Pelodiscus sinensis: one gene and its partners. The protein of the gene in region 3 interacts with the protein of the main gene of each other region in a pairwise test. Links are inferred from orthologs where the notes say so. Each region holds a gene or a part of one and is shown on either strand. Other genes may lie near its edges.

Region 1 (7,509 bases), on a different chromosome or scaffold from region 3:
TCAGATGTCTGGCTTGCTGCTTATACACAATCCCACATCTCGCCAGCTCTGCTCACAGTGATCATGCCAATGCCTACAACTAAAAATAAAGCACCCAGAAACAATCACGCTCAACAGGAATGGGAGGGCTGCAGAGACAAGTGATCAGCTCAAATGAAAGCTGCAGCACAGCTGGCCCCCAACAGCTGCTTTTGCTACATACCTTTCTGGGACTGATTGCTTTGGTTTGCTCTAAGGCAGGGGTGGGCATTTTAATGCCTGCAGGCCACATTTGGCCCGCTATGCCTTTTGATTCAGCTTCCTGCCTGCTGGAGCCCAAGGCTGCTCAAAACAGCAGGTGGTTCCCTCTATGTGCTGCGCACTCCTGGCTGGGACAGAAGGGGAGACTTTGCATGCTGCCCTTGACCCCAGGCCAATCACCACAGCTCCCAATGGCCAGAAACCAACCAATGAGAGCTGTGATAATTGGATGGGGGTGGAGGCAGCATGTGAAGTCCCCATCCACCTTGCCGGAGTGTGCGGCACCTAGAGGGAGCTGCCAGCTGTTCTGAGCAGCCTGGGGCTGCGACATGCAGATAGGCTGCCTTGGGGTCCCTGGTGGGCTGCTGGCTAGAAGCCACCTAAGGTAAGCACCTCCTCAACAGAGCCTGCCTCTGGTACTCCCACCCCCTAATCCCTGCCCCAGGTCACCACCTAGACCCTCTGCAAACCCTACCTCCCCCCGCCCCAGTCACAACTCCCTCCCAGACCCTGCAATCCCTCCTACACCCCTCTACCAGGCCAAAATCCTTTCCTGCACTCTACCTCCTCTGGGACCCTGAACCCTAATCTCCTGCCCCAAGTCACAACCCCCTCCTTCATCCAAACTCTCTCTCAGACCCCTCTCTTGCACCCCACACTCTTCCCCTGAGATCCCTTCTTCACCCAGCCTCTACCCCAGACACCACACCGTCTCTATAGAAATGCAGCCCTTAATCCCGTAACAAAATCTTGGAGTGCCCTCCCCATCCAAAATTATTGCCCACCCCTGCTCTAAGGCCTGGTCCACACTTACAATTTATCAACCTAGCTATATGACTGAGGGGAGTGAAAGATTTGCACTGGATCACTGCATTTAAGATGACCTAGTTCCCAGTGTAGAAGCATTTAGACTGAGGTGTCTGTCCACTTAGGTTATCTCTACTCTTCAACCACTACAGTGGTATAAAGACACTGCTTCAGTGTAAACATTCCCTACAGAGATGGGAGGTTCCACCTCCCTGAGCCGCAGTAGCTTGGTCGATGGAAGAATACTGGGTTCAGGCAACTTATCTATATCTCTAAGGGATGTGGATCTTTCATACTTTGAGCAACACAGCTGGGCAGACCTGGCCTTAGCTACCACAGACCACAGAGCAGGATTAACTACCACAACAGAAAAAGCCCTGTTGCAGTAAGAAGGGATTACACTATACCACAATGACACATCTGCAGCCTTGAAGCTGTGCTGCTGACATGCCAGTAGGCACGGCCATTGTCCCCTTGTCACGGTGAGAGCCAAACACTTCCAAGACAGAGACAAGACATGCAGGGATTGTTAATCTCAGGGCTGAAAGGCTGAAATCCCCATGCAAGCCCCCAGGGCCAAAACACCTATGATCAACGTTTCCTCTAATCTTTTCCAACCATGTGCGGAATACATTTATACGTGCACAGAGGGATGTGCAGATGTGCACCACCAGTAGAAACAAAAAGCCTAGCTGTGGGACTCTGCTAATCACCGGGGGCGTCATTTGAATTTCTGTGCACAGCTTGGCAGTGTCTATGATGGCTGGAGAACAGCTTACACCCAGATGACAAGCATGTGATGCAGTAGTTTCCTCCCCAGCCCTCTTGATGTAGCCTGGCTTGCCATGCAACTACCCACTCAGCCAGTCCCAGCTGCTTTTCTTCCTCAACTGCAGCTGTGGGAAGAAGACTCAAGCTAGTTTCATTCACTTACTCTGTTCTACTCCCACTGCTCCAGGAAGGGGCAATTTGGGCTGTAGGCCTGATGGGTCCCTAGAAAGGTGTCACCTACCTTGCCCAGATCAGAGATTGTTTTTCTCTGTTATACAGCTACTCTTGAGTTTCAGATCCAAATTGGGGGCAAAGGGTGTTCTGGGGAAGGGGATCCACCCACATCACCTGCCCCTCGCAAGTGCTGCTGGGCCAGGGTACATCTGGAGTCATGAAGGCCTTCCCTGGGTAGGAAGGGTCCCTAACCTCCCCTGGACAGCCACCTCACAGACCCAGCCTGTGCTATTTGGTCTGGGGTCCCCACCTGATCTCTGAAGATGAAGTTCCCTAGAAGTGGGGGACCCAAAACAAAGGTCTTAGGAGCAGTAGGTCCCAATTTGAGGGAAGGGGTGCCTTAGGAATGGAGAAATCACATGAGGGGATGTTATGGGGTCAACATGGATACATAAAGGAAGGCAGTCCTTGTGGACATCTCAGGGACCAAGGACCCAATCTGAGAAAGAAAGATGCTTTAAAATAAAATATTGCATGTACCGATGTTGGTTCTTGATCTCTGTGAAATGGGGGAATTAGGGAAAGAAATCTCTATGGAGTAGTCATTGGAGGAGAGTTCTCAGGGGGCCTGTGAGTGCCTGGGTTGCACAGAAGTCCATGCTCTGCTGGTCAGAGGTCCTCCAAAGAAGGCCGCAGTGGGGCAGGAAGTGAACAGAAGAATCCCCAAGAGGTGCTCTAGGAGAATAGGGGGATCTCAAGAGAAAGGACCCTAAAAGATGAGACATGGGGTACTGGGGGAATCGGCGGGCGGGGGGGGGGGGTAGGTGCTGCTCAGGAGGTCCCTGGGAGACAGTCTAGGGTAGAGTGAGAGGGAAGATGCTAGAGGTGCTCTAGGAGGAGGCTGCTGGGAGAGCAGCAGAGGATGCTCTCGAGGGAAGTCCCACTAGGAAGACCCCAGCAGCAGACAGGGACAAACTAGGAAGTCCCCAAATGACGGCACTCTAGGGGGTGTCCCTGGGGGAGGACCCCAGGAGAGGTGCAGGGGAGCACTGGGGGGGGAGGGTGCCTCACAGCAGAGAGAAGCGCTCAGGTGGATTCCTCTAAAGGGAGAGACACTTGGGGATGGATCACTCATAGGAGAGCCCCAGGAAGGGCTACAGGGTGGTGGTGGAAGGGTTCCCTCAAGACGAGGGACGCTCAGGGGAGATGCCCCAAGGAGGAGAGATGCTGGGGGAGGGGGGTAGGAATCCCTGGTGGGAGAACTGCAGAAGGCGGCATCTTGGGACTGGAGGGGATGCCCTGGGGAGGGAGGGGCCCTTTGGGGAGGTCTCTGGGGGGACCCCAGAAAGGGAAGCAGGAGGGGGTGGCTCGAGGGGTGTCGGGGGGGAGGGGCGCTTTGGGGAGGTCTCTGGGGGGGCCCCAGAAAGGGAAGCAGGAGGGGGGGGCTCGAGGAGTGTCGGGGGGGAGGGGCGCTTTGGGGAGGTCTCTGGGGGGGCCCCAGAAAGGGAAGCAGGAGGGGGTGGCTCGAGAGGGGTGTCGGGGGGAGGGGCGCTTTGGGGAGGTCTCTGGGGGGGGCCCAGAAAGGGAAGCAGGAGGGGGTGGCTCGAGGGGTGTCGGGGGGGAGGGGCCCTTTGGGGAGGTCTCTGGGGGGGCCCCAGAAAGGGAAGCAGGAGGGGGTGGCTCGAGGGGTGTCGGGGGGGAGGGGCGCTTTGGGGAGGTCTCTGGGGGGGCCCAGAAAGGGAAGCAGGAGGGGGTGGCTCGAGAGGGGTGTCGGGGGGAGGGGCGCTTTGGGGAGGTCTCTGGGGGGGCCCCAGAAAGGGAAGCAGGAGGGGGGGGCTCGAGAGGGGTGTCGGGGGGAGGGGCGCTTTGGGGAGGTCTCTGGGGGGGCCCCAGAAAGGGAAGCAGGAGGGGGGGCTCGAGAGGGGTGTCGGGGGGAGGGGCGCTTTGGGGAGGTCTCTGGGGGGGATCCCGAGAGGGGAGAGATGTTGGGGGGGCGCCGGGAGGGGCTGTGGGGGTCCCGCCCGAGGGGGCGCTGGGGGACACGGGGGATGCCGGGGGGGGGCCGCACCTGCATCACCACCTCCACCTCGTAGGCGTTGCCCTTGCTGCGCTGCTGGCCGCGGAACTTGGCCCCGCTGTAGAGCAGGGAGGTGGCGACCCCGGGCTGCGCCGTGTTGATGGGGGGCGGCGGCACCAGGCTGGCGGCCCCGCGGCCCCGCGCTCCCCCCGGGCAGCAGCACTCGCTCCGCACCGGCATCTCGGGGGGGTCCCCGGGCGCCAGCGTGTCACGGGCTGCAGGGAGCCGGCCCGGCCGCCTTGCTGACCCGGGCGCTCGCCGGCTGCCCCCGCCGCCTACCTCAGGGCCTCCCGGCGACGCCTCCGCGCGCTCTGATTGGCCCAGCGGGCGTCGCGTCGGGCGGGGCGCCGTTCCCATTGGGCGATGGGCGTCACGTGGGGGCCGCGCTGGCTCCTGGGAATCGTTGTTTCTGTGAGGGCCTTGTGACAGGGCCCTCGGAGGGACAAAAAGCGTTTGTGATGCTGATTGGACGCTGGGCGAGCAAGATGGCGGCGCCCAGAGGCAGAGTGGCTGGGTAACCGGGCCGCGGCGGTGAGGTGGAGGCAGGTGGCTCGCAAGTCGCGTCCGTGCGGCCCCGTAGGGAGTGGGGCCCGGGTCTGTACAGTGGGCTCCGCGGGGGTCTGTCCTTCCCCTCCCGGTCCTATTTGTACCGGCAGGGGGCTCTGGGGGGGGGCGTGATCCCGGCAGGGGGCTCTTGGGGGGGGGGGGCGTGATCCCGGCAGGGGGCTCTGGGGGGGGGCGTGATCCCGGCAGGGGGCTCTTGGGGGGGGAGGGGCCGTGATCCCGGCAGGGGGCTCTTGGGGGGGGGAGGGGCCGTGATCCCGGCAGGGGGCTCTTGGGGGGGGGAGGGGCCGTGATCCCGGCAGGGGGCTCTTGGGGGGGGGAGGGGCCGTGATCCCGGCAGGGGGCTCTTGGGGGGGGGGCGTGATCCCGGCAGGGAACTTTTGGGGGAGGGGCCGTGATCCCGGCAGGGGGCTCTTGGGGGGGGGGCGTGATCCTGGCAGGGGGCTCTTGGGGGGGGGGCCGTGATCCCGGCAGGGAGCTCTTGGGGGGGGGGGGCTAGATGCTGGTAGGCCATCCCAAGGTGTTAGGCGCACCTGTATGTAACAAGTCCAGGCCGTTCCCATCTTGCTGTAGCTCACGGTCTCCCCAGAATGTGGCGCAGTTGCCAGCGGCTGTTCTACGCCGGGCTGCCTCAGGCTCCATGGCTGTGCCCAACACTTCCTGTTGGGGGCCCCAGTCTTTGGCTGCCGTGCATGGTACGGGCATACACGCCACCAACAGGTGAGGACAACGCTGGACAGCAGTCCTGCTGCATGCTCGGCAAATTTCAGCATGGTTATTTCCAATTGCAGGGATGTTTTTCAGTGGTGGAATTGACTAGTTGTAAAAGCCAGCTGTGACCACAGTTTATGAGAGGGATGTGATGCCCCGTCCCCCATTTACAGAGGAGAGCTCTGGTTTGTGGAATGGGCCCCAACTGAACATCTGAAACATCAAGCCCAACAACAAACATTTATTATGTGCAGAGGCAAAAGAAAATGACATCGCTGGCCCAGTGAGCTCAAAATCTAATGCCTCACGCCTCCTGCTGCCAGCATGTGAGCCTGCTGCTCTGCCTGCATACAGCCTCACTGAGTACCTGCAGTTCTATTTTAGGTACTGTTATGAGCTCAATCACCATGGCAGCTGAGTACCTCAAGTTCTTTAATCTACTCCTTCTCACAGCCCCCTTGTAGGGCTAAGCAGTGCTGTGATTTCCCACTTTATACAGGAGATGCGGAAGGACAGAAAACTGGAGGTCACACACAAAGTCTGTGGCAGAGCAGCAAATGAAACCTAGGTCTCCTGAGTCCCTTCACCCCAGTCCATCCTTCCTTAGTCGTAAAGTGGTGCTTTCAACATCTTTCCTCTGTGATTTCAATTGTTTGTATGAGGATGGTGAAATTTGATCCTTTGTTTCTCACAAACTAAGACTCTGAACTTGCAATGAAATGCACATCCTGGAGCCCCATTAAATCAGGACTTGAGGGGGTGAGGGTGTCTTGTTGCAGGATCAAGGCTGTGGGCGCATGCTTGAATAGCCTTAAAATATGGCATTCTTTAAGTCCCTTGATCCTGCAACTGTCTTGTTTCTAGGCAGTCTGCCTTAACTGGGACTCTGGAAACCCAGGGGCCCTGTGTGCACAGTAGATGTAGAAATGGAGCTGCAGTCCAGTAACAGTTGTTAACTCTAGAGATTATGTACATACACCTATGTTGTACTGCCAAGGCAAAGATTTGGAGAGGTTTTGTGTTCTCTGTGTTTTGTGTGGGAAATGGGACCAGGTGTCTGTCTAAATGGCCGGGTCTCTGTGTTAACACAGACTCTGGGAACTGGATCCACAGGGCCAGCCTATAGCTTTCAGTTTGGAATTTATCAGCTGTTGCTCTGCATGCCCTCAGAGAGCCTGTCTTCACGTGTTAATTCATTCCTACATTCCAAAGCCAGAAAGAACCATTGTGATCAGCTAGTCGGGCCTCCTGCATAGTACAGGCCCTAGAAGTCCTTTGAATTCATTTATGTTGCCTGTGGTTTTTGTGCAGGGTGGGCTGTCTGTCAGTGCAGGGATCTAACTGTGTTACATGTGGATGCTGTCAGGAAGTTAGCAGGTGCTGTTCATGCCATTTAGAAGTCTAATGGCTGTGCCTTGCAACAGTGCAGATGCCAAATGTAAATTGCTTCTAAAACTATGACCTGTAGCCCTAAAGGTAGACTTGCTATTTATTGCACCAGACATTCTCCTTGACATAGTGGGTGCAGCATAACGGGAGGTAGACCCTCAATATATTAAATTGTATGCTGTGGTCTACCTGGCATCTACGTGAACTCACTCAGGACATGGGTTTACAGTGTGTTGCGTGCAATGCTCCTGGATCCAGCCAGAGGGCGTTCAGGGCAGTGTGACAGGCTAGCTTGGCACTGTAATTTAGGGGCTATTCTAGATTCAGGTATATCATCAGCTTCCGCCTGAAATCGCACCAGAGGGAGCTGTTTTAAAAGCTGGCTGGATATTGGTGACCTGCCTTAACTACATGGGACCGATAGTACCTGCTGATTAGAGTTGCTGCTTCTCCAGCGGGTGGAAAAGCCATGGCCAGCTGAGCAATGCTCGACAGGTCACATTACTTTTGTTTCCAAGGTAGTGGCTGAAGAGCTGGGCTGATGCAGGGCTAGTTTAATATTCAGCCTGGCAAAGAGGGGCTTGCTGGTAGGGATTGCACCAGCATGTATTCCAGGCCTGTCCTGTTCTCTGGGGCCTCACATCTGTTTAATATTATCATTGGTCATGTTTATTACAGTAGTGCCTACAGGCCACTTGAGAGTGGGCCTCTACTAGCTGAGGTGCTGGACATCGACAGAGAAGCAGATGGTTCCTGCCCCCAAGTGTTTACAGTCT
Region 2 (7,431 bases), on a different chromosome or scaffold from region 3:
AGACATGTAATCTAGACATACCCACAGTGCCCTAATGTGACTTTCAGCTTTTCTGTTCTCTCAGGTACACAGGAAAACTCCCAGGAAATTTTGAATTTCATTTCCTGTTTGGCCAGCATGGTAGGCTCAGAGGAAGGAAGGAATGAAAGATGGAACTAAAGCATGCTATACAAGTTTTTAATGTGGGAATAACTGTGCTTTCTACCAAGTTTAATTATTAAATTATCTTTTAAATTATCTATTAAAATCTAGATAATTTGATTATAGTAGAAAGGAAGGGACAATGAAGGCACCTCAGGGTGCAGAGAGAAAGGGGGTCTCTCCCTTGTCTCCCCCCACAATGTATTTTTACTTCATTTAGTTCAACCAAGAGTCTGACAGGGCACTATCAATGGCATCCTGATCATTGTTATTAACTTGGAGACAATTTTTGGCCCAGCTGAAGACAATTGTACAGGGAGCTTGTGAGTACCTGCATGGCAATCACTAGGCTAATGAGGTAACAATATCAGGAGTGGAAATAGGAAGCAAAAGCAGCTCAGAGGGTGAACCTAGGCAGAAGCCTAAAGGCTGTGGGGAAGCCTACCCTTGCTGTAAGACTGCATTGGATAAATGAAGAATCAGTACACATCTTGGTGTGTGTTTGTGACTGTGAAACCACATGAACTGGCTACATAGCATGGTTCAGTGGGTTGCAACAGAGCTGCCCTGTTACAAGGAAAGACCCGTGCTTTTATTGCTATAGATACCACTGTTGATGTATATGCTGCCACTGTACATTACTCAAGTATAAAAGAAGATACATGAATAATATGCAGTTGTTTTTTAGATAAGTCATTCACAAAAGTGGTCTAGGAAAGGCCTCTTCGTCTTTAATTATAGTGTTTCGACCATCAATATTAACAATGTTTCACATATCAAAAAAGCCATCTGTGAAATCGTCATGTTAGCATTTACTAAGTTAAGCAATACTTAGGAATGTCAACAGATTGGAAGAACTGTTCTTACAAATCGTATCCTGCTCTGTCACTCTGCAAATATGATTGTGCAATGTTACTATGAGAATAACTGTGCTGACATCTCTGTTACACTTTTAAATATGCCCAATGAGAATCAAATGTTTCCAGAATCCTAAACAATCTCAATCTGAGCCAGCAGCTCATTCATTTAATAAGAGTACCAAGTCATCTCCCACAGTTGCTGATTTGACTCAGTAAATATTATATGATATCAGAAGTTATAGTGGAAAAACATGTTTAACAATAATTTCCTCAACTGCCATGACACTGAAAGGAAATGTTGTAAGAAGTTCCATCAGTTTAAGCAAGTTGATAATTGTTCTCACTGCCAGAAGGTCTGAGAAAACACCTAAAATACTGTCAGTGACTTTCTTGATGGGCCACTCCTATTATTAGTACAAGCACAGGAGGGTGATTTTGCCTTGACTATGGAAAACACAGAGATATAGTGTATCTCTAGCAAAATGTTATGTTCAAGAGATATTTGTCATTTGCAATGAATCTGTAACTGGAAATGCTCAAAGATGTGAATTTGGGTCACTTTGACTCATTAATGAACAGACAAGAAAGCATATGGAATAATATAATAAACAGATTGAGACACTAACTGCTACAGGGAGCATGAGTTAAATTTAATCTGCCCCATAAACATCGGCAGGGGCAGTGAAATATAGCCACAGGCTCTAGAAGGTACAACAAACACCAATTCAATGAAGCAAAAAAACATAGCGGAAGGGAATGGAAATCACAATCAAAATAGAAATAAAAAGTTTTCTGAAATCAGATTCATATTTGATAGAAACGATGGTGAATGTGAGCCAAGAAATATAGTCAAATACAAAGAGACATAAATAATTTTTCAGAGGTATATTGTACTGTTACAACGTACCACCTATGCTTAAAGAACAGCAAGGCTTTGGATCTTGGGGATATATGGACTGTACAGCAAACTTCTTCACCTTGCAAAATACAACTAAATGTAAATGACAGATGTAGCCATTAAATAGGATAATAATGCACAATGGAGTGCAGTCCAAGAAAAAAAACTAGCTAAGGAAAAGGTACAGAAATCTAAAGCAGATTTCACATTTAGGACATAAAGAGTGAGTCTAGACCAGTGGTGGGCAACCTTTTTTTTCAACTGAGCCAAATCTCGCCAAAACCACGATTGAAATTTATTTTGAGAGCCACATTTTTAAACCCGAAAATACATAGGATGGTACACTGTTTTTAGTTTCAATAAGTTTTTATTGAGAATATTCTGCATGCAAGTATGCCTTTTCACCACTCTTGGGTATGTCTACATAAAAAAAGTATGCTTAACTCAAGGGTAGCTAATTTAGGACAAAACAGTGAAGATACAGCAACACAGCATTTAACTCTTATTAGTATACTGTTAAAGTCTATAGGGCAGCCTCAGATGAGCTAGCACTGCTAACCCAAGTTTAAAGCTAAATTGCTGTGCCTTAGTGAGCATGAGTTAAAACCCTTTTCCTCAGCAGTGAACTGTTCTCTTCTGATTCCCCTACATCTCTAATCCTCCATCAATAGGTCTTTCTAAAAATCCTCATCCCCACTCCATCTTTCTGTGGAAGTTGTATAGGGCTCTTCATCTATACCTTATAGCCAAGTAAACTAAATTGCAAAGAAGTTCAACTAGCATCTCTATGCTGCCAGCTCAGTATTTCAGATCAGTCTCCCTCTGTCCAAATTCACATCTCAAGCTTGAAATTCCTAACTATAAGGTCACAGAAAGCAAATAAAACCTTAAAATGTTCAGGCTACAGTTACACATCACAAAGCAGCACAAAAGGAACAACCCCCTCCCAGCAAGTCAGTTTTAAATAAACAAAGCTCCCCCAGCAGTATCTGCAATCCAAACATGAGGAAGTGCATTAACTCACTGGAACAATTACAGAAAGGCTACAATAAAAAAAACCAAATCCTGCAACCCAATCGCCCTATTTTCATTGTTCAATTGCAAGAAGTGAGTAACCTCAAGGGTGAAGACTGCACTGGATTTTTAGAGAGCTTCCAGTTTCCAGAATCCCGGCTGTTCTTGTTAACACTTCTTAGAGGTATCTGTGTGTTGTCTGGTCTCTGGCTATCATGATAAGGGACCTTCTGCACTGAGTATCTTTGCACAGGCCCCTCCGAGTGATTACGATAAGAAAGAACTAGTATTTTACAGACTGTTTAATTCACACAGAAAGAAACTTCTTCTCTCATTTCAGACCAAGCAAAAATTCAGAATGAAGCATCGCTAAAATCCACCCCTCTACTCTCCCGGGCCGTTTATCTGCCCAGGAGTGTTTTACACAGGTTCAAACTAAATGCTCCAAAATGCTTAGCATAACGTTCAAAGCGCAACAGCAGCACAGGCCAGCCAGGGTGGGGGTCTCAGCTGAGAAAAGGCTCCGCAACAAAACAAACGAGCTGTGAAGCAAGGAGTGAGACCCGCGAGCAAAGGCAGCCCGCCCCAAGAGACTGGGGTCCCAGCACCAGAGACAGGCAGCTCCGTGTAGAGACCCCAACGCCACCACCCCCCGACCATACAATTCAGACACCCCGACTTCCCGCAACGAAAAGAAGTGTCTGATCTGCCCCTCCTCCACGCGTCCGCACTGTCCTTTCCCGCACCCCGCCCTTCCTGCCACTTCCCCGTCTGCCCTCTCCGTCCCCGCCCGCCTCACTGACCCGCCCCGTCCTCTACCCCTTCCCAGTGCCCCTGTCTCGTCCACTCCCCCGCCCCGCTGTGTGTCCGGCCGGGCGCCGTGCTGCCCCGGGCGCCACCCCCCCACTGCCCTTGCCCCCTCCTTTCTCCCCACCCGTCCCACTGCCCCTGCCCCCTCCATTCTCCCCCTCCGCCCCTGCCCCCTCCATTCCCCACCCGCCCCACTGCCCCTGCCCCCTCCATTCTCCCCCTCCGCCCCTGCCCCCTCCATTCCCCACCCGCCCCACTGCCCCTGCCCCCTCCTTTCTCCCCCTCCGCCCCTGCCCCCTCCATTCCCCACCCGCCCCACTGCCCCTGCCCCCTCCTTTCTCCCCCTCCGCCCCTGCCCCCTCCATTCCCCCCCCCGCCCCACTGCCCTCCTTTCCCCGCCCCTGCTCCCTCCTTCTCCCCCACGCCCCATCTTCCCCTCCGTCCCACGGTTCCTCCACCCGCCACTCTGCCCGGGCGGCGCCCCCCCCGTCCCTGCCTCTAGCCCCCTTCCTTTACCCCCCCCCCACTATCTCTATGCCCTCCTATTCCCGCCCCCCCGTCTCACTGCCCCCCGGCCCGGCACTCACACGAAGCGGCGCTGAGCAGCAGGAGGTGCCACCGGCCCCACTTGCCGAGACCAGCCATCGCCGCGCTCCCAACTGTGCCAATGAGCTCCGAGAAACACCACCCAGCCCCCTTCCCAGGTGAGGCCCCGCCCCCGGAGCCCCATTGGATCCCGGCCCACGCCCACCCGCCCCCTGCGGCCCTGCCCCACTCCAAATGCGGTTTGAATTGCGGTTTGGTCTAGTAACTAGACTTTTGGGGCGGCCGCCCGAGAGGAGGGAGGGGAGCGGGCGCCCGGCACACAGAAGAGCCGCATTAAAGCGTGTAAAGAGCCGCATGTGGCTCGCGAGCCGCGGCTTGCCGACCACTGGTCTAGACTACAGGGTTTTGTCAACAAAAGTGACCTTTTGTCGATAAAACTATACCTCTGTCTACACTATTGCCAAGTTCTGTCGACATAACATTGACAGAACTCGGCAGTTTTGCCAACGGCAGTAAACCTCATTCTATGAGGAATAACGCCTTTTGGCAACAGAGTTCTGTCGACAGAAGGTGTTATTGCATCTACACTGTCCTTTGCACCTACACTCACATGTCGACAAAGCGGCTTGCTTTGTCAACAGAACTGGATGTAGTCTAGACACTCTTTGTTGAAAAAAGCTTTGCTGACAGTATCTGGCCCAGCGGGCCATCGTCTGAATGGACTGTAATATCCACCATAAAGCTTCTAATACCGTGGTCACCAACCAGTCGATCGTGAGGCATTCGGGGCCACCCCTGTGATTTTCCCCCACCCCCAAGAAGTCCTACTACCTACCTCCAGTGACAATAGAAGTAGTGGCGGCTTCCTGCAGGGTGGACAGAAGTCCAGCAGCTGCGCGCCACTTCCAGGGGTTCCGGAAGTGCAGTGGCTGCTCCCCTCCCCCAGGTCTGTAGCGTGCTGGGAATTGGCATGGTGGGGCGGGGGGAGTCCCCAGAGGAGGTGCGTGCCAGGGTTTCCCTCCTCTGCGGGGGGAAGGGAGAGGGGAGAAGAGTGCTGGGAGGAGGCAGGTGCGGGAGACTCCCTGCCCCAACTGGCACCCTGTCCCCTGCTGCAGAACCCTGCCCTCTGCCCCCTGCCCCTCCGTTCTCCTCTGGTACCCTGTCCCCCACTGGCACCCTGTCCCCTGCCCCAATTGGCACCATCCCCTGCCCCAGCACCCACTAGCACCCTTCCCTACTACCATGTCTCCTGCTTCCACCAGCGTAGTAGGGGCCACAGTAGTGAGGTTTGGGGTTTTTTTGGAGGAGGTTTTTTTTTTGCATCTCACTTGTGTTGCCCCAACTGACTTTTCTGTGAGTCAGTGACACCTGATTCAAAACAGGTTCCCTGCCCTTCTAATAAATAAAGACAATGCAGAAACTTTTTGTGTTTGACATAGTATTTTATTTAAAAATGAAACCTGTCCAACAAACTCCCAATTGCGGCCAAGTCCCCATCTAGCCTCAGCATCATAACACTGCTACACCCCGTCCCAGACTCTAGATCTGAGCCTATCATACACTGGAACCCCCTGCCCTGAGCCCCTGACATATTCCAACCCAAATTCCTGCACCTTCACATCCACAAGCCTGTGGCTTGCTTAGTACCCCAACCCTCCATCTGACCTCAACACTCCCCAGCCAGGAGTCCCCTCCCTGAGCCAGCATCCCTTTCTCCACCTCCTCCAAATTTTCTCCCAGAGCTTGACCCTCCCACCCCTTTCCACACCCAAATCCCTCATTCTCACCCCAGAGCATACATATCCTGTCTCAAGCCAGTGAGAGTATTGCTAGACTGCAGGAGTTTTTCCAGGATTCCAGAGATATCCCGGAAAAATTCTTCCACGTCCATGGATGCGTTTGTTCTTCCATTTTTTCTGGCGGAAGAGCAAACATGCTCTTTCAGCAAGCCCTGTATTCCTCGTTCCACAAGGAATAAGGGGACTTCTGAAAGAAGGGTTTTTTCTGACATTTGGTCCTGTCCAGATAGGCCAAATGTTGGAAAAACCTCTTCCTACAGAAGAATCGGAAAAAAAGCAGCAGTGTAGAGTGTAAAAGGGCTGGGGATAGCAAGTGATGGAGAGGAGGAAAATAGAGAGGGTAGGTGGAGTCTTGGGGGAAGGATGGAGTGGTAAATCTTGGCTTGTTCTGACATTTAAAAAACGATCTTAGGTGTAAAAAGGTTGGAGACCACTGTTCTAATACCAAAAAAATCTATAATACCAAAATACAAAATGTTTCCGAATAAATGTGAGGCGGCCGAGGCCATGTGTGTATGTGTGTGTGGTTAGGAGTGGGTCGCTGCACCGGCTTGGCCTTAGTTTCTTTGGCACTAAAGTGAATGACATCACTTTATGGTTGAAATCAACGAAATGGACGTGCAATGCTCAATGCTCGATGGTGCATAACAGTAATGCGTAGGCCTGCTTTGTGCAATGGTGGAATCGGTGATGGATTAGCTTGAATCTTGACCGGTGAACAAAGAGTATGCAGCGGTTGGATGCGTTCTGTTATCGTCTGTCATTGTGGGTGTGTGGTTTTCCATAACTGACAATAAATAACAGTGTGAGTATGGTGTAAACGAACAAAGATAGTGTGCGTGAAAAAGTCGGCCGTTCTCAACTCATTTCCCGGGCCTATTTTGATTGCCAGTCCACCCCTGCATATAATTCATTTCAACCCTGTAAAATGGTCAAAGTGAATTGGTAAAATTTATACTGAAAAAACAAACATTAATAAGCATTTGAGAAGTGAGATGCTATTCACCAATCTATCAGTTTTAAAATATTATTCTTTAACTGAGCCATTTGTATTCACAGCAGATATTTTTGAAAAACCGCTATTTGCATCAACACTCTTAACGAGGCAGAAAGAAATGATGTATACACAGTAAAATATATATAATTTTTACAGTATCTTTGAGGACTTTTTTTGCTGCACTTTGAAATAGAACATCTTCCCTGCTACAGAGGCAGAAGAGAGTGCTACATTTTCTCTAGCTCCCTCAATTCCCAAGTTACAACAGGTAGTATATTTTCTTTAGTCTTTCTCTGCCCTTAGAATTTCCCATCTTTGTATGGTACTAGTACTATGTGAATAGGGAGAGGTGGTTATGGAAATTAG
Region 3 (8,084 bases):
GGTCAGCGCTAAGGCCGAGGGGGGGCCTGTCGCTCTCTGGTCAGCGCTAAGGGCCGAGGGGGGGCCTGTCGCTCTCTGGTCAGCGCTAAGGGCCGAGGGGGGGCCTGTCGCTCTCTGGTCAGCGCTAAGGGCCGAGGGGGGGCCTGTCGCTCTCTGGTCAGCGCTAAGGGCCGAGGGGGGGCCTGTCGCTCTCTGGTCAGCGCTAAGGGCCGAGGGGGGGCCTGTCGCTCTCTGGTCAGCGCTAAGGCCGAGGGGGGGCCTGTCGCTCTCTGGTCAGCGCTAAGGCCGAGGGGCCTGTCGCTCTCTGGTCAGCGCTAAGGGCCGAGGGGGGGCCTGTCGCTCTCTGGTCAGCGCTAAGGCCGAGGGGGGGCCTGTCGCTCTCTGGTCAGCGCTAAGGCCGAGGGGGGGCCTGTCGCTCTCTGGTCAGCGCTAAGGGCCGAGGGGGGGCCTGTCGCTCTCTGGTCAGCGCTAAGGGCCGAGGGGGGGCCTGTCGCTCTCTGGTCAGCGCTAAGGCCGAGGGGGGGCCTGTCGCTCTCTGGTCAGCGCTAAGGCCGAGGGGGGGCCTGTCGCTCTCTGGTCAGCGCTAAGGCCGAGGGGGGGCCTGTCGCTCTCTGGTCAGCGCTAAGGGCCGAGGGGGGGCCTGTCGCTCTCTGGTCAGCGCTAAGGGCCGAGGGGGGGCCTGTCGCTCTCTGGTCAGCGCTAAGGCCGAGGGGGGGCCTGTCGCTCTCTGGTCAGCGCTAAGGGCCGAGGGGGGGCCTGTCGCTCTCTGGTCAGCGCTAAGGCCGAGGGGGGGCCTGTCGCTCTCTGGTCAGCGCTAAGGGCCGAGGGGGGGCCTGTCGCTCTCTGGTCAGCGCTAAGGCCGAGGGGGGGCCTGTCGCTCTCTGGTCAGCGCTAAGGCCGAGGGGCCTGTCGCTCTCTGGTCAGCGCTAAGGGCCGAGGGGGGGCCTGTCGCTCTCTGGTCAGTGCTAAGGGCCGAGGGGGGGCCTGTCGCTCTCTGGTCAGCGCTAAGGGCCGAGGGGGGGCCTGTCGCTCTCTGGTCAGTGCTAAGGGCCGAGGGGGGGCCTGTCGCTCTCTGGTCAGCGCTAAGGCCGAGGGGGGGCCTGTCGCTCTCTGGTCAGCGCTAAGGGCCGAGGGGGGGCCTGTCGCTCTCTGGTCAGTGCTAAGGCCGAGGGGGGGCCTGTCGCTCTCTGGTCAGCGCTAAGGGCCGAGGGGGGGCCTGTCGCTCTCTGGTCAGCGCTAAGGGCCGAGGGGGGGCCTGTCGCTCTCTGGTCAGTGCTAAGGCCGAGGGGGGGCCTGTCGCTCTCTGGTCAGCGCTAAGGGCGAGGGGGGGCCTGTCGCTCTCTGGTCAGCGCTAAGGGCCGAGGGGGGGCCTGTCGCTCTCTGGTCAGCGCTAAGGGCCGAGGGGGGGCCTGTCGCTCTCTGGTCAGCGCTAAGGCCGAGGGGGGGCCTGTCGCTCTCTGGTCAGCGCTAAGGGCCGAGGGGGGGCCTGTCGCTCTCTGGTCAGCGCTAAGGCCGAGGGGGGGCCTGTCGCTCTCTGGTCAGCGCTAAGGCCGAGGGGCCTGTCGCTCTCTGGTCAGCGCTAAGGGCCGAGGGGGGGCCTGTCGCTCTCTGGTCAGCGCTAAGGCCGAGGGGGGGCCTGTCGCTCTCTGGTCAGCGCTAAGGCCGAGGGGGGGCCTGTCGCTCTCTGGTCAGCGCTAAGGGCCGAGGGGGGGCCTGTCGCTCTCTGGTCAGCGCTAAGGGCCGAGGGGGGGCCTGTCGCTCTCTGGTCAGCGCTAAGGGCCGAGGGGGGGCCTGTCGCTCTCTGGTCAGCGCTAAGGCCGAGGGGGGGCCTGTCGCTCTCTGGTCAGCGCTAAGGGCCGAGGGGGGGCCTGTCGCTCTCTGGTCAGCGCTAAGGCCGAGGGGGGCCTGTCGCTCTCTGGTCAGCGCTAAGGCCGAGGGGGGGCCTGTCGCTCTCTGGTCAGCGCTAAGGGCCGAGGGGGGGCCTGTCGCTCTCTGGTCAGCGCTAAGGGCCGAGGGGGGGCCTGTCGCTCTCTGGTCAGCGCTAAGGGCCGAGGGGGGGCCTGTCGCTCTCTGGTCAGTGCTAAGGCCGAGGGGGGGCCTGTCGCGCTCTGGTCAGCGCTAAGGGCCGAGGGGGGGCCTGTCGCTCTCTGGTCAGCGCTAAGGCCGAGGGGGGGCCTGTCGCTCTCTGGTCAGCGCTAAGGGCCGAGGGGGGGCCTGTCGCTCTCTGGTCAGCGCTAAGGCCGAGGGGGGGCCTGTCGCTCTCTGGTCAGCGCTAAGGCCGAGGGGGGGCCTGTCGCTCTCTGGTCAGCGCTAAGGGCCGAGGGGGGGCCTGTCGCTCTCTGGTCAGCGCTAAGGGCCGAGGGGGGGCCTGTCGCTCTCTGGTCAGCGCTAAGGCCGAGGGGGGGCCTGTCGCTCTCTGGTCAGCGCTAAGGCCGAGGGGGGGCCTGTCGCTCTCTGGTCAGCGCTAAGGCCGAGGGGGGGCCTGTCGCTCTCTGGTCAGCGCTAAGGCCGAGGGGGGGGCCTGTCGCTCTCTGGTCAGCACTAAGGCCGAGGGGGGGCCTGTCGCTCTCTGGTCAGCGCTAAGGCCGAGGGGGGGCCTGTCGCTCTCTGGTCAGCGCTAAGGGCCGAGGGGGGGCCTGTCGCTCTCTGGTCAGCGCTAAGGGCCGAGGGGGGGCCTGTCGCTCTCTGGTCAGCGCTAAGGGCCGAGGGGGGGCCTGTCGCTCTCTGGTCAGTTCTAAGGCCGAGGGGGGGCCTGTCGCGCTCTGGTCAGCGCTAAGGCCGAGGGGGGGCCTGTCGCTCTCTGGTCAGCGCTAAGGCCGAGGGGGGGCCTGTCGCTCTCTGGTCAGCGCTAAGGCCGAGGGGGGGCCTGTCGCTCTCTGGTCAGCGCTAAGGGCCGAGGGGGGGCCTGTCGCTCTCTGGTCAGCGCTAAGGGCCGAGGGGGGGCCTGTCGCTCTCTGGTCAGCGCTAAGGGCCGAGGGGGGGCCTGTCGCTCTCTGGTCAGCGCTAAGGGCCGAGGGGGGGCCTGTCGCTCTCTGGTCAGCGCTAAGGGCCGAGGGGGGGCCTGTCGCTCTCTGGTCAGTGCTAAGGCCGAGGGGGGGCCTGTCGCGCTCTGGTCAGCGCTAAGGGCCGAGGGGGGGCCTGTCGCTCTCTGGTCAGCGCTAAGGCCGAGGGGGGGCCTGTCGCTCTCTGGTCAGCGCTAAGGGCCGAGGGGGGGCCTGTCGCTCTCTGGTCAGCGCTAAGGCCGAGGGGGGGCCTGTCGCTCTCTGGTCAGCGCTAAGGCCGAGGGGGGGCCTGTCGCTCTCTGGTCAGCGCTAAGGGCCGAGGGGGGGCCTGTCGCTCTCTGGTCAGCGCTAAGGGCCGAGGGGGGGCCTGTCGCTCTCTGGTCAGCGCTAAGGCCGAGGGGGGGCCTGTCGCTCTCTGGTCAGCGCTAAGGCCGAGGGGGGGCCTGTCGCTCTCTGGTCAGCGCTAAGGCCGAGGGGGGGCCTGTCGCTCTCTGGTCAGCGCTAAGGCCGAGGGGGGGGCCTGTCGCTCTCTGGTCAGCACTAAGGCCGAGGGGGGGCCTGTCGCTCTCTGGTCAGCGCTAAGGCCGAGGGGGGGCCTGTCGCTCTCTGGTCAGCGCTAAGGGCCGAGGGGGGGCCTGTCGCTCTCTGGTCAGCGCTAAGGGCCGAGGGGGGGCCTGTCGCTCTCTGGTCAGCGCTAAGGGCCGAGGGGGGGCCTGTCGCTCTCTGGTCAGTTCTAAGGCCGAGGGGGGGCCTGTCGCGCTCTGGTCAGCGCTAAGGCCGAGGGGGGGCCTGTCGCTCTCTGGTCAGCGCTAAGGCCGAGGGGGGGCCTGTCGCTCTCTGGTCAGCGCTAAGGCCGAGGGGGGGCCTGTCGCTCTCTGGTCAGCGCTAAGGCCGAGGGGGGGCTCTGGTCAGCGCCAAGGGCCTGCAATGCCACAGGCTACTTGGGCTAGGCTGGGCCCACGCCAGGGCTGGCCTTACCGTGAGGCGAGCTGAGACGGCCTCCTCAGGTGCCAGACTCTGCGGTGGCGCCACTAGGACCCAGGGTGTAGAAACTTGTTTCTGCTGCTGGTGCAGCAAGGGAACATGGGGGCGTCATTTGAGCTTCCCGCCTCAAGTGCCAAAATTTTGTGGGCTGGTTCTGCCCACATCGGTCGAGCCACCGCTTAACTGGTAAGGCCCACACAGTGTTATTTCACGGTTAACATGGTACGGACATGGCATAATTCCCCCATGACATTAGCTCATTGCACTGAAACCCGCACAATGACGTCAGAGCTCTACCCACAGCTGTATGCAATACATCACAGCGGCGCACTGTGACGGTGCAATACATCACAGCGGCGCACTGTGACCGTGCAATGACATCACAGCGGCGCGCTGTGACCGTGCAATACATCACAGCGGCACACTGTGACCGTGCAATGACATCACAGCGGTGCGCTGTGACCGTGCAATGACATCACAGAGGCGCGCTGTGACCGTGCAATGACATCACAGTGCTGTGCTGTGACCGTGCAATGACATCACAGAGGCGCACTGTGACCGTGCAATGACATCACAGCAGTGCGCTGTGACCGTGCAATGACATCACAGAGGCGCACTGTGACCGTGCAATGACATCACAGTGCTGTGCTGTGACCGTGCAATGACATCACAGAGGCGCGCTGTGACCGTGCAATGACATCACAGCGGCACCCCAGTGCTCCATGTCCCCGGCACTGCAGGCTAGCTCAATGTGACCCATGCACGCCTCGCCCCGCACCCTGGCTGCGCGCTGCCCGCGCTCCCTTCCCCCACCGCTGAGGCCTAGTCTGCCTTTCCCTAGCGCGTCTCTTGAACGACGCTCCCTTGCTGGGATGGACTGAACCATTCGCCACCCCGAAGGGGAGAAAGGCTGCAGCGGCATCTGCGTGGCCGCTCTCGCTTTCCTTGCAGACCCCGTGTGCTCCTTGGCGGGGGCGGCGCCGGGCAGCGGGATGCGGCAGGGAACTGTAGTGAGCTCCCCCCGGTGCCGAGTGGTAGGAGCCGAGGTTGGAAAGGGTGCGCATGCGCACGAGCGCGCGGCAGAGCGACCAGACGTTGAGAGGACGAGGAGGAAGGCGAGAAAATGGCGTCGACGGGTGAGCGACGGGGCCGGGCCGGGCCGGGCGGCGCTGGGCGGGGGCCGGGCCCGATTCCAGCCCCAGCTCCGGGGGGAGGGCGCCCGGCGGGGGGCTGGGGCGCGGCCCGGCCGGCGCTTCTGGAAGCTTCCCGGGCCGCGTGGGGCGGCGCTGGCCATTGTGTAACGGCCGGCGGCGGGCGGGCCTGCCCGGCCGGGCCGGCAAATGGCGGAGGCGCCGGCGAAGGGCGGGACGGGCGCGTGCTCATGGCGGGCGCTGCGCCGGGGCCCCGCGTGGCTGCGGGCGCGGCGCTTCCTGCCGGGCCGCTGCACCGCCCGCGGGAATCCCGCCCGGCCCTGTCCCGGGAGCGCGCGGCCAGGCCCAGAGCGCGCTGCTGCTCGCGCCCGGCTCCAGCCGGTCCCGGGAGCTGCTGCTGGGAGTAGAATGGGGCCGGGGCCTTCTCACAGGCGCTGAGTCCGTAGCGCTGCCGGGTTTATGCATAAATGTTCTTAGGCACAGAGACAGTAGCGCACGAAAATCTTACAGCGGCCCTCGACAGTGCTTATGTACAGGGCTCTGGCTTAACATGAGAGGAATTGCCCTAGAGGGGCAGAGCAAGGAGTGATTACATCAAAATGTTAACATTCAAAGAGCTAGAAATAGTTGTCTTGAATTTTGGGGTGTATAGAAATATTTACAATCGTATTGAAGCAAAAACAGGATCTAAATAACTGTTTTTAACATAATTGCATGATTAAAGATCTTGTGCAAAGCACACATTGAAAACCGCACATCAGCAACTTTTAATCAGCATGTTATGTGGTGGTCATAGAACAAATAAGATTAAGTATTGGTAGTAAAAGTAATGATTTTGAGTGTGTCTATTGAAATGTGTATCAAAATGGAGGAACTGTAGTTTTTGTTTCTACTTGTTAGTCTTGTAATGCATTCCGTCCATCATTGTGTAATGCAAAATGCCTAGGTTTCTTAAGGAGAAATAGTTTTAGCTGCTGCTGCTGCTTAAGATTTCTGTAGTAGAGTGGGAAGGGAAGATGGATGGGGCAGTCACTCTTCCCATTAGCACTCAGTATTTGAAGTTTATTTTAAAATCTGCTTTGGGCATAGGCAGGCAATAACCTGCAGAAATTCTTTGGTAAATATTTACTGAGCCTTATTGTGGATATGGTTAGGGTGAAAAGGTAAGTAGTTTAATATTGGGTCTACAGATATATCATAGACCCCGTGATGAATACACCTGGCTACATTATGGTTTCTTTGTATAGGATAGATGGCAGAGTAACTTTTTCTGGGACCTTTACAAAGCTTGGTACAGACAAAGATGTTTTTACTATTTGGGAGTATCCATCTACATCAAACAAAGGAATTGTGTTGTGATTAAAGACCTGTTACATTATATGGCTGTTGGTTTGATAGCCTTGGTGTTGATACCAGTATTATACTGCATTTCACTTGCCAACAGCCCTCTTATGAAAAGACTCATCAGAAAAGCCTAAAGTTTTGCTCCAGTATGTCTTTGATTTGAACACCCTAATCCTTTCAGTTTATCTTTAAAAATCAGCACAGTGAAGATGTTTAAAATGGAGATTTTTAGAGCTTTAACATTAGAAAACTGAATAAAAATTCATGCTTCTAAAAAAAATTAAAACTGATTTTTATTAAATCTGATTTATTTAAATGTTTAATAAATATTTAAAATTATATTTGAAATTGACCGTTTGTCAGCCTTAATCTATTTAATATTTCAACAAAATAAAAAATGTTAAGCAGTGCAAGTTTAATCTGAATAAAAATGATATGTAAAATAATTGGATCTGCTAGTTCTAAAATTTTGAAGGATGGGGGCAGTCAATCAGATAAGTTCACTCTCTAGTCAGTTTAAATGCAAAATGTTTTAAATTTTTTTTATTAATCTAGCACAAGTTTAAGTGCTGGGTTTGTGCATTCCTGGTTTAATTTTAATTTAATTCAAATGACACTTGACCAATCCAGCAAAAAATTAGTAATCTGATAAATAGTTGTTAGATAATTGCTTACATATGTATAGATGTAATGTATCCTTGTTAGCAAAAAAAAAAAAAAAAAAAAAGCACAACATTAAGGCATTGTCTACACTAGAAAGTTTAAAGCGGGGCCGTGGCAGTACTTTAAGGTGGCAGTGTGACCACAGCTCTAAGTAAACCACCTCCACCAGGAGGAGCACTGTTCCCTGGTGTGTGTGTCTGTGTCTGTGTGTGTTCTTCACCAGCTGAGCCAGAATAGTGCAGTAAAGTGCCAGCATAGACTTAGCCTTCATGTAAAAGATGTAGTTACTTGCAAATCTACATATTTTAACATTTACCCATTGGGGAATCAAACGGTCTTTAAGAAAAGTGCAAATGCAAAATATGAATACATTTAATTATTTAAATCATATTTAATTGATGCGGCTCTGCCAGAAAACTTGTAGTACTGAGCAGTTAGATTTATTTTTTTAAATTAACCATTTAATGATTTACTTTCCTCCATGTGTACTCAGTTCTTTTATGGCTGCTTTCTGGCAGGTAATTTTTTTTTCCTCTGGAGAAAACCAATGAAGCATTTCTTTGAAGAAAATACAATTGTACACGAGTGTTGCAAAAAATTATAAGTTACAAATAGGTCAAACATCAGGCTTATCAACATTGACAATGTCACTTCAGTTTAAAGTTAAAGCCAAGCTCTTGAAGAGAGGAGCACCTCAAAAGAAAAGAAGGCATTTAAAGGAAAGTTCTTCTAACGCCACCATGAACAGTGGAAAAAAATATTTACTAAAGAAACATGTGTGAGTGAAATTGTCAAAATGATATTTAAAAATGCGCCTATTGTTCTGTTCAGTAAAGGAGCTTGTTTTTCTTCTGGAGCTGCTGCATTAGTGCTATACCATTGCATTGTTGAGTCTCATAAAACAGAAGAGAACTGAACACATAAGTCCCACAGAAATAAG

What was found.
Region 1: the proteins of EWSR1 (region 3) and ATPAF2 interact in binary tests that used the Homo sapiens proteins (3 or more experiments, as listed by UniProt). The two-hybrid records come from large-scale screens. The link is inferred for Pelodiscus sinensis from reciprocal best matches to the Homo sapiens genes EWSR1 and ATPAF2.
Region 2: the proteins of EWSR1 (region 3) and phospholipid scramblase 2-like interact in binary tests that used the Homo sapiens proteins (3 or more experiments, as listed by UniProt). The two-hybrid records come from large-scale screens. The link is inferred for Pelodiscus sinensis from reciprocal best matches to the Homo sapiens genes EWSR1 and PLSCR1.

What each region holds. Positions count from the first base shown.
Region 1 is NC_134726.1:33,122,754-33,130,262, forward strand, and holds the start of ATPAF2 (ATP synthase mitochondrial F1 complex assembly factor 2), read left to right. Parts: upstream 1-4,453; 5' UTR 4,454-4,611; exon of another isoform or gene 4,612-4,663; intron 4,664-5,206; 5' UTR 5,207-5,223; coding exon 5,224-5,353; intron 5,354-5,426; exon of another isoform or gene 5,427-5,643; coding exon of another isoform or gene 5,644-5,728; intron 5,729-7,509. Other genes in the region: GID4 (glucose-induced degradation protein 4 homolog), read right to left, coding at 4,061-4,249. UniProt on the Homo sapiens protein: Plays a role in the assembly of the F1 component of the mitochondrial ATP synthase (ATPase).
Region 2 is NC_134720.1:23,898,565-23,905,995, reverse strand, and holds the start of phospholipid scramblase 2-like, read left to right. Parts: upstream 1-4,375; 5' UTR 4,376-4,390; coding exon 4,391-4,427; intron 4,428-7,431. UniProt on the Homo sapiens protein: Catalyzes calcium-induced ATP-independent rapid bidirectional and non-specific movement of phospholipids (lipid scrambling or lipid flip-flop) between the inner and outer leaflet of the plasma membrane resulting in collapse of the phospholipid asymmetry which leads to phosphatidylserine externalization on the cell surface.
Region 3 is NC_134725.1:5,537,955-5,546,038, forward strand, and holds the start of EWSR1 (RNA-binding protein EWS), read left to right. Parts: upstream 1-5,008; 5' UTR 5,009-5,109; coding exon 5,110-5,122; intron 5,123-7,897; exon of another isoform or gene 7,898-7,918; coding exon of another isoform or gene 7,919-7,922; intron 7,923-8,084. UniProt on the Homo sapiens protein: Binds to ssRNA containing the consensus sequence 5'-AGGUAA-3'. Might normally function as a transcriptional repressor. EWS-fusion-proteins (EFPS) may play a role in the tumorigenic process.